2 linked regions of the Oryctolagus cuniculus genome follow. The protein of the gene in region 1 purifies or fractionates together with the protein of each later gene. This does not show direct contact. Links are inferred from orthologs where the notes say so. Each region holds a gene or a part of one and is shown in the gene's direction. Other genes may lie near its edges.

Evidence for each region. Proteins that work in one complex are often made in the same cells at the same time.
Region 2: the proteins of KAT8 (region 1) and PHF20 purify together in Homo sapiens (affinity purification with mass spectrometry; 3 studies listed by BioGRID and IntAct, counting the BioPlex papers as one, with this or other methods). This does not show direct contact. The link is inferred for Oryctolagus cuniculus from reciprocal best matches to the Homo sapiens genes KAT8 and PHF20.

Annotation. Positions count from the first base shown.
Region 1 is NC_091450.1:6,066,960-6,071,700, reverse strand, and holds the start of KAT8 (histone acetyltransferase KAT8), read left to right. Parts: upstream 1-1,811; 5' UTR 1,812-1,869; coding exon 1,870-2,080; intron 2,081-3,202; coding exon 3,203-3,277; intron 3,278-3,367; coding exon 3,368-3,543; intron 3,544-4,741.
Region 2 is NC_091442.1:22,301,946-22,305,860, reverse strand, and holds the end of PHF20 (PHD finger protein 20), read left to right. Parts: intron 1-3,206; coding exon 3,207-3,349; downstream 3,350-3,915. UniProt on the Homo sapiens protein: Methyllysine-binding protein, component of the MOF histone acetyltransferase protein complex.

The DNA of each region.
Region 1 (4,741 bases):
GGGCTGGGGCGCTGTGCAGCGGTCAGGGGGCGCGGGGCCTTGGAGCAAAAAGTCCAGAGCCAGGAAAGAATGCCTCAGAGTCGGAGGCAAGAGACCTAAACTCCAGGAACGTTCATTCATTCATTCCTCCACTTCACAGGCGTTTGTGAAAGTGTGGGGAGTGGGAGCGTGTGTGTAGGGGGGGAGAGATGCGCACTCAAACTCCCGGGTTCAAAACTTCCCAAACAGCCCTATTAGCCTAGGGGCAGCTCCTCCAAGAAGAGCCTGCGGTGCTGGCCAGTGCACCCCACCAAGGTGACCTAGGGACAGAAAATAACCAAGAGCCGCGGGGGTGTCTGAGTGTAGCACCTGCAGCTCTGGGCCCAGCGATCAGATCTGCACGTTGGAAGAATCATGGGTTGCCAGACGACTGGAGGGAGAACGGTGGAGGCCGAAGCAGTGACCCTGATCAGGGATTAATAAAGTTCTGGCTAACCCTTCGCTGGAAGGGACAGCCTGGGTAACTGAAGCTGTCAGTCCCCTGGGTAGGTGGAGTAAGAATCTTCAAGGCAGGGAGTCTGGAGAGGGTGCAGGGAGTAGAATTTTCATCTTTTCTCTGTGATGTTTATCATGTCAGATACACAGCAATCACTAGCCCCCTAAATTTCTTCATTTCCCAAGAGCCAAGTTACCAGTGCCTCCCCACTGCCATCGGCCCGGGATCCCTCTAGCAGGTATTTCTTGAGCTCCACTCTCCTGGGCATTCCACGCCTCTCAGAATTGCTTCCAGGGGCTGGCGCTGTGGTGATAAGGGGTAAAGCCGCCACCTGCAGTGCCAGTATCTCATATGGGCGCCAGTTGGCGTCCTGGCTGCTCCACTTCCGACCCAGCTCTCTGCTATGGGCTGGGAAAGCAGTAGATGACCCAAGTCCTTGAACCCCTGCACCTGCATGGGAGACCCGGAAGAAGTCCCTGGCTGCTGGCTTCAGATGGGCGCAGCTTCAGCCGTTGCAGCCAACTGGGGAGGGAACCAGCAGACAGAAGACCCCCCCCCCGCCTCTCCTTCTCTCTATATATGACTCTTTCAAGTAAATGAACAAATATTTTTAAAAAATTGATTCTAAATCCAATAACTAAATCAAAGAATATTCAGAAAATGGGCAAAGGGGATATTTATTGGATGCCTACTCTGCCGGCTCTGAGATAGCATACACGCGTAACCGTCAGTTTTAGTGCTAAAAGTCTTACCACCCGTATGGACCTGTATTAACTTGTGCCGGCTCTCAGGTCATCTGCACGCGTGTGCACCTTATCCAGGGCAGGGTTAGACCTCACTCTGCCCCCGGGCGAGTTTCTGCTCCGGTGGTTTCGGCACCAGCTCCTTTCTTTAATAGACTGTTCTGGGAGGGCATCCCTGGACACACCTGTCCGGCTGTCGCGACCTCAGCGGTTACTTTTTCCCAACCTGAACAAAGGAAGCAGTGTCCTCAACCTTAGAAACTACAGGTGGCCGATACCAGGCTGGCCCAGGTGGGCGGCTCACGGGCGGGCTGCTAAGCCCGGGCTCACAATCCCGGCGTCCGGGAGCTAAGGAGGCCATGCTGGCTCCGCTCCGCTAAAGTAGGGGCAGCGACCCCTTGAAAATCGGCACATCTTGGCCATCAGAAAGACCGACCTCAGTACATCAGGAAAGTCTATCTCCCAACCCCGACAACGCAAAGCGCAGTGCGCACGCCCAGCGCGCAGAGGACGGCCGCACGAGCCAATAATCTCCCGCCACATCACAGACCCCGCCCCACCCGGCCTGACGCTCCGCCCCCGCGCACTGTTGACCCGGAGCGAAAACAGCCGCGCGCGGCGCCTGACTCTGGCGTCACTTCCTCTACCGCGATGGCGGCCCAGGGAGCAGCTGCGGCGGTTGCGGCGGCGACTTCGGGGGTCGCAGGGGAGAGCGAGCCCGGGCCAGGGGAGAATGCGGCGGTCGAGGGGACCGCCCCATCCCCGGGCCGCGTCTCCCCGCCCACGCCGGCGCGCGGCGAGCCAGAAGTCACGGTGGAGATCGGAGAGACCTACCTGTGCCGGCGGCCGGATAGCACCTGGCGTGAGGGCGGGGTCCGGGGCCAGGGGGCGGGGACTGCGGCGGGGCAGGGCCGGAGGACGGGTCCTCGCAGGGGCCGAGAGCTGGGCGCTGGGAGTCGAGGGGAGGTGGGGCTTGAGGAAGTAGGCGTTGTAGCCGGCGCTGCGGAAGCCGCAGCGTAGAGGCAGGCTGTTACCCTTCGAGGTGTGCTGGGCGCCGCCCAGATCCCACCAGCCAGGCGATCTTCAAATTCTGATTGTCTACAGAGCTCCCCTTCCACTTCCTTTCCGGGTTTTAGGCTTCATTCCCTTTTCTTTCTTTACTAACTCTCCTTCCTTATCGATCTCTGCTTTTTCCATCTGTCCCCCACGGCCGCCAACAGAGAACCACCCCCTCCCCAAACAAGCTTCCTCTTCGCTTTACATTCCTTTGCCTTCCGTCATCTTCCAAACAAACCCCAAGTTCCTTAGAATGGCATCCATTTTTGTGACCTCTGGGGCTCCCAGTCTTGGCCGGACAAGAACGCGCTTTGCCCTCTGAATACCCTAGGATGCCTTATACCACGTGTGCCTTCTGCTTGGAATACCTTGTCTTCCTTGCCTCCCTGCGCCGCCTGACTCGCTCCTCCTTATCCTTTTAACTCATCTTCTCTGATGCAACGCTTGATTCCCCCTGCAGGCAGAGTGAGCTGTTCCCTGTGCACAGGCCTGCAACATTGTTTGCATACCTCAGCCGCTGCGGTGCTCGTAACATTTACTGTTGTCATTTTCCGGGCTGTGTCTTCTCCCCTATCAGACTGGGAACTTCTGGAGGGCAGGAGCTCTTGTGAGTCATTGCCCTGCCCTCTGTACCCGGGTGTAGGGCCAGACGCGCAGTGGTTGCCTTACTCACTTACTAAGTGAGCTGTGAGTGGTCAGGCACCGGCTGAAAGATTTCAGAGGCATGAGCTCACTCTCTGAGGTGGGCGCTGTTGGTCTTATTTTTCATATGGAGAAACGAAAGCTCAGAAAGTTGAAATAGCTTGGCAGATGTGTTTGGGTGGGGTTAGCTTACCTGCGGCCCCACAGACCTGGAGGCTGCTCCTCCGTGTCCAGGGTCTCTCGTCCTGGTCCTTGCGTCCTGGTGATCCTGCCCTTTGTCCTTCAGATTCGGCCGAGGTGATCCAGTCTCGAGTGAATGACCAGGAGGGCCGAGAGGAGTTCTATGTGCACTATGTGGGCTGTGAGTGACCTGGGGCAGTCTGGCCTGGGTGGGTGGGAGAAGGGCCAGCCGGGCAGCAGCCCTCACAGCCCATCCGCACCATCCTCACAGTCAACCGGCGATTGGACGAATGGGTGGACAAGAACCGGCTGGCGCTGACCAAGACAGTGAAGGACGCCGTGCAGAAGAACTCGGAGAAGTACCTGAGTGAGCTGGCCGAGCAGCCTGAGCGCAAGATCACGCGCAACCAAAAGCGGAAGCACGATGAGATCAACCACGTGCAGAAGGTCCGGGGCCCCCCTTCCCCAGGGCCCGGGAGGCCCCGCTGCCTCTACCAGCTCCCCCGGGCTTCACAGGCCCTGGTGCCAACACATCTCCCGTTTCTTTTTTGGTCTAAATTTTCATTTTATTTTATTTATTTGAGAGTTACATAGAGAGAGAGAGATTGTCCCATTTCTGATGCTTCCTATAGTGTGCCAGAGACTTCCCTGACCTTTTGTGTACTCTTCTTCATAGGGAGGAAAATTCAGGCTTGAGAGGGCAAGGGTTTGGCTGCAGTTGCCCAGCGAGCAAATACCTAGCTGGGATGGGAACCCTGCCTCCCAGCGCTTCTTTCTCTGTCTTCTGTTGGCTCCTAGACATTAGACAAAAATGCTTGAAGTACAAAGGAAAGGAAATGAATGAATGACGTTGGGCACCATCCTGAGTCCTATACGTGTGTGAGCTCATCCCGTCCTCCCTAACAGTTCAGTGCCATAAGGATAGTTATTTCTATGGTAGAAGAGGAAGCAGGCTCAGAGAGATCCAGTAACATGCCCAAGGTCACACAGCTAGCAGAAGGCGGGCTGAAGCGAGAATCATAATGCCAGACAGTGGTCTGTGAGCCCAAGTGTTAGGCCCAGTGTTTACTGCAGGGAATTGTGAGGTGAGCAGCCTTGTCATCCCCTACAGGAGAGGCCCACGACGGCTTGAAGAACCCGGTTAGGGGCTGGCTCTGCCAGCTTCAGTGCCGGTAACTGTGAAAAGTCAGAAACCATTTGGTGACAAAGTGTGGGTTCTTTTTTATTTTTTTTTTAAAGATTTATTTATTTGAAAGTCAGTTACACAGAGAGGAAGAAAGGCACAGAGAGAAAGGGGAGGAGGTCTATCTGCTGGTTCACTCTCTAATTGGCCGCAACGGCCAGAGCTACACTGATCAGGAGCCAGGACTTCTTCCGGGTCTCCCACATGGGTGCAGGGGCCCAAGCACTTGGGCCATCTTCTACTGCTTTCCCAGGCCACAGCAGAGAGCTGGATCTGAAGTGGAGCAGCTGGGACTTGAACAGGTACCCATATGAGATCCTGGCACTGCAGGCAGTGGTTTTACCCCCTATACCACAGTGCCGGCCCCTGCAGTGCTGTTTTTTAAGCTGTGGGATGGGGCCTTCTAGTAGATGGCAAAATTGATTCAGTGGGTGGGGGCAGCATTTAAATTTTGAAAATGGA
Region 2 (3,915 bases), on another chromosome or scaffold:
AGGGAGCTGGATTGGAAGTGGAGCAGCTGGGACTTGAACCAATGCCCATTTGTGATGCTGAAATTACAGGCAGCGGCTTAACCCGTTATTCCAAAACACCATTCCTGGGAATCAACTCTTGAATTCATTTAAATGCCATCAAGATGAACTAAGCTTTTATAGAAATTTGGATGTAACAGTCCTTTAAAAAAAAAAAAAAAAAAAAGCCTAGTGGAGCAGGTATTTGTCCTAGTGGTTATGACACCTGTGTTCAAGTCCTGGCCCCACTATGAATTCTAGCTTCCTATTCATGCATACTCTGTGTGGCAGCAGGTAATAGTTTAATTAGTTAGGTCCCTGCCATCCACATGGGAGACCTGGATGGAGTTCCTGGCTTTGATCTTGCCCAGCCTTTTCATTGAAGGTATTTAGGGACTGACCCAGCAGATAGGAAAACAGAAAAGCTATCATATTGACACACATAGATAAAAGTCATTTTTTACTATTAACCATTATTTAATAATTTATAAAGCTTTGTGAATAGTAGTTTAAAAGGCAAAGGAAGGGGGACCAGTGCTGTGGCATAGCAGGTAAAGCCGCCACCTGCAGTGCCAGCATCACATATGGGATGCCAGTTCAAGTCCCAGCTGCTCCGTTTCCCATCCAGCTCTCTGCTGTGGCCTGGAAAGCAGTAGAAGATGGCCCAATGCCTTGGGCCCTTGCACCCACGTGGGAGACCCAGAGGAAGCTCCTGGCTCCTGGCTTCAGATCGGCACAGCTCCAACCGTTGTGGTCTTTTGGGGAGTGAACCTGCAGATGGAAGACCTTTCTTTCTCTGCCTATGCCTTTGTGTGTAACTCTGCCTTTCAAATAAATAAATAAATAAATAAATAAATCTTAAAAAGGGGTGGGGGCAAAGGAAAGAAGACATTGTGGAACAACTGTTTAGGACAACTGCAACCAACACATGAGTGCAGGTTCAAGTCTTGGTTCCTCTGCTTCCGATCCAGCTTCCTGCTGATGTGCCTGAGAATGCAGCAAATGATGTCTCAAGTGCTTGGGCCCCTGCCATCCACATGGGAGACCTGGATGGAATGCTGGGCTCCTAGATTCAGCCTGGCGCAGTCCTGGCTGTTGTGAGAATCTGGGGTGTGAATCAGCAGATGGAAACATGGACTCTCTCTCACTCTCGTTCTTTCTGTATATGTGTGGGTGTCTCTCTGTCACTCTGCCTTTCAGATAAATGATAAAAATAAAAGACAAAGGAAATTAAATGATCATTAAAAGTGAAATATTAAATATTTTAGTATTTAATATTTAGAAGTATTATTTTAAGGAAAAAATACCATAGTGAACAATGGTCTCTATACAGATGAGCTTGAAGAGTGTATTTGAAGTGAAACTTTTCCCGTGGTGACCTTGTCTTGCTAGCAACCATTATACTTAGAAGTATACTTAGAAGTGGTTTCACTCCCTGAAGAGCGAAGTTGGGATAATGGTGTGGGCAGCCCAAAGCTCGGGGGGCTGGCCTGCCGGACTCTCGGGTCCCAAGATGCTGTTGACTTCCCATGCCTTTGGCCCTGTTCTTCAGCCCAGCAGATCTGGAGAGCGAGCTTCTGTCTCAGGAGTTCCAGACACTCCCATAAACCATGCTCGGACACTACTGAGTGACATACACTGTGCCAGTCTTCATGCTGCTGCTTGTTTCCCTGCGCTTGTCTCCTGAGCCGCTGTTGAGGGGTGCCCTCTGCAGCAAGCCTGGCACCAGATCGGAGGTAGTTCAGGTGATCTTAAGAGGGGTCGCTCAGCACCTGCAGCAGCATCTTGCCTAAGACACTGTCTACCCTCCCCTTTCAAATTGATCCATCCAGTCCTGACTGCCTTTTCTCCATTTATTTATTTATTTGAAAGGCAGAGTTAGGCAGAGGCACAAGCAGAGAGTAAGAGAGAGAGAGAGAGGTCTTCCATCTGCTGGTTCACTCCCCAAGTGGCCGCAACAGCTGGAGCTAGGCCGATCCAAAGCCAGGAGCCAGGAGCTTCTTCCAGATTTCCCACGTGGGCGCAGGGGCCCAAGGTGTTGAGCCGTCTTCTGCTTTCCCAGGCCACAGCAGAGTGCTGGATGGGAAGTGGAGCAGCCGGGACTTGAACTGGCACCCATATGTGATGCTGGCTCTGCAGGCAGCTAACCCACTCGCCATAGCACAGGCCCCACCATTTATTCTTGTGCCTGTTTGCTCAGCAGTCTGTTGTTGCCCTCTAGATCTTGTTTTTTAAGACTTACTGATGGATTGAAACTGGTGACTGTGGAGTTGCTGTTCAGATGACCACTAGTCCCTCTCACATGACTTGGATTTTTTACTTTTGGTTTCCAAGTGTGGGTACAAAAAGGCAGTCTTGTTTTTCTTATTTCCTTGTGGTTAATCACAGATTATTAAATGCTCACAGGAGAACATATGGTACCATAGCCTCTGTAACTCAGGGAGTAGATTCAGAGTGTAGAGTTGAGGAGGCTTCCCTAAGGAGTAACTTGCTGGGAACAAAGGATTTAGAAAGGTGGAGAGGACGGTGGGGTTAGGTGTGAGAGCTGGGGTTTGTGTGGTAGGCTGCAGGCGGCCGGAGGAACAGACACTGGCTGGGTAGGTCTGCCTCCTTCTGCATTCCAGGGTCCAGAGGTGCTCAGCACGGGTTGAGGCATGGCTCTTGGCAAGCTGGGTAAGCACAGGAACTAATATAAAGCAAATCAGAGTTTATGGTGATAAAAAACAGAGCCTTTCAAGTCCCCCCCCCCCTTTTTTTTTGATCCTAAAAGACCAGGCTTTCTGATTTGCAACATGGGCAAGCTCTGTAAAGAGTGGGCAGTCACACTAAGAAAGGTGGGTCTTTGAAAGCCTTTTAGACCCAGTTGTCCAATATAGTAGCCACCAGCGAACAGAGTAAATTTAAAATTCAGTTCCTGAATTGCACTAGCCATGTTTCAAGTGCTCAGGAGCTGCATGTGGCTACTGTACTGGACCATGCTGACCATTCTCATCATTGCACAAGACTCTGCTGCTCCAAAGCAACTGAGCTTTCTTCCAGGAGTATGTAGAGCAGGTATTGAGATAATGTTGGCTTCAGTGTCCCTCCTTCCCAGCTCGCAACAGGATAAGGTGCTGAGAACCTTGTTGATCTTCTTGCAAATGATGTGTTGAGGGCTCACAGAGTCTTCTTTCTCTCTTCTGCCACAGTGTTGGAGAGCTGGCTGGACTATACCGGGGAACTGGAGCCCCCAGAGCCACTGGCCAGGCTGCCACAACTCAAGCACTGCATCAAGCAGCTACTTACAGACCTGGGCAAGGTGCAGCAGATTGCCCTCTGCTGCTCTACATGAAACTGGGCACCCAGAACTAATGGCGGCACCACCTTGGGGCACCTGCAAGAGGAGCTTCACGTATTTAAATGAACAAACCTAGCATGCCGAATGCACGTGACACCAACTGACTTCAGGGATCCAGCCAGGAATGTGAGGGATGTTGGACGGAGAGGCCATTTCTGGCTGCTGGAGGACAGGGCACTCTGATCTTGAAGCCTGCCAAGAAGCTGGCAGATAGACTCTTTGGGATTCCCTTCTTCTGTGCACATCGTTGAATGAAGAAGAGTCATTTTGCACAAACTTCACTTGAAATCGTGCCACTGATGATAAATGGAATGAGAGCCAAAAAAGTTTATTTGGGGACAGTTGTAAATTCTACTTGCAGTTTATTTAATTGACTTCTGTCAGGTTGGGGTAGCCAACCCTGCTGGTTTCTGCCTGGCATGGTGTTTAGGCAGCAGGCATCATTTCATGTTCCAGCCTAACGGGAAGGTTGGGACTTGACCATTCGGTGGTGGCTGGGAAGCAGCAGAGGCCTTGGCTGCCATGCTTTTCCAGTAGGACACTTCACTTTTCTCACATCT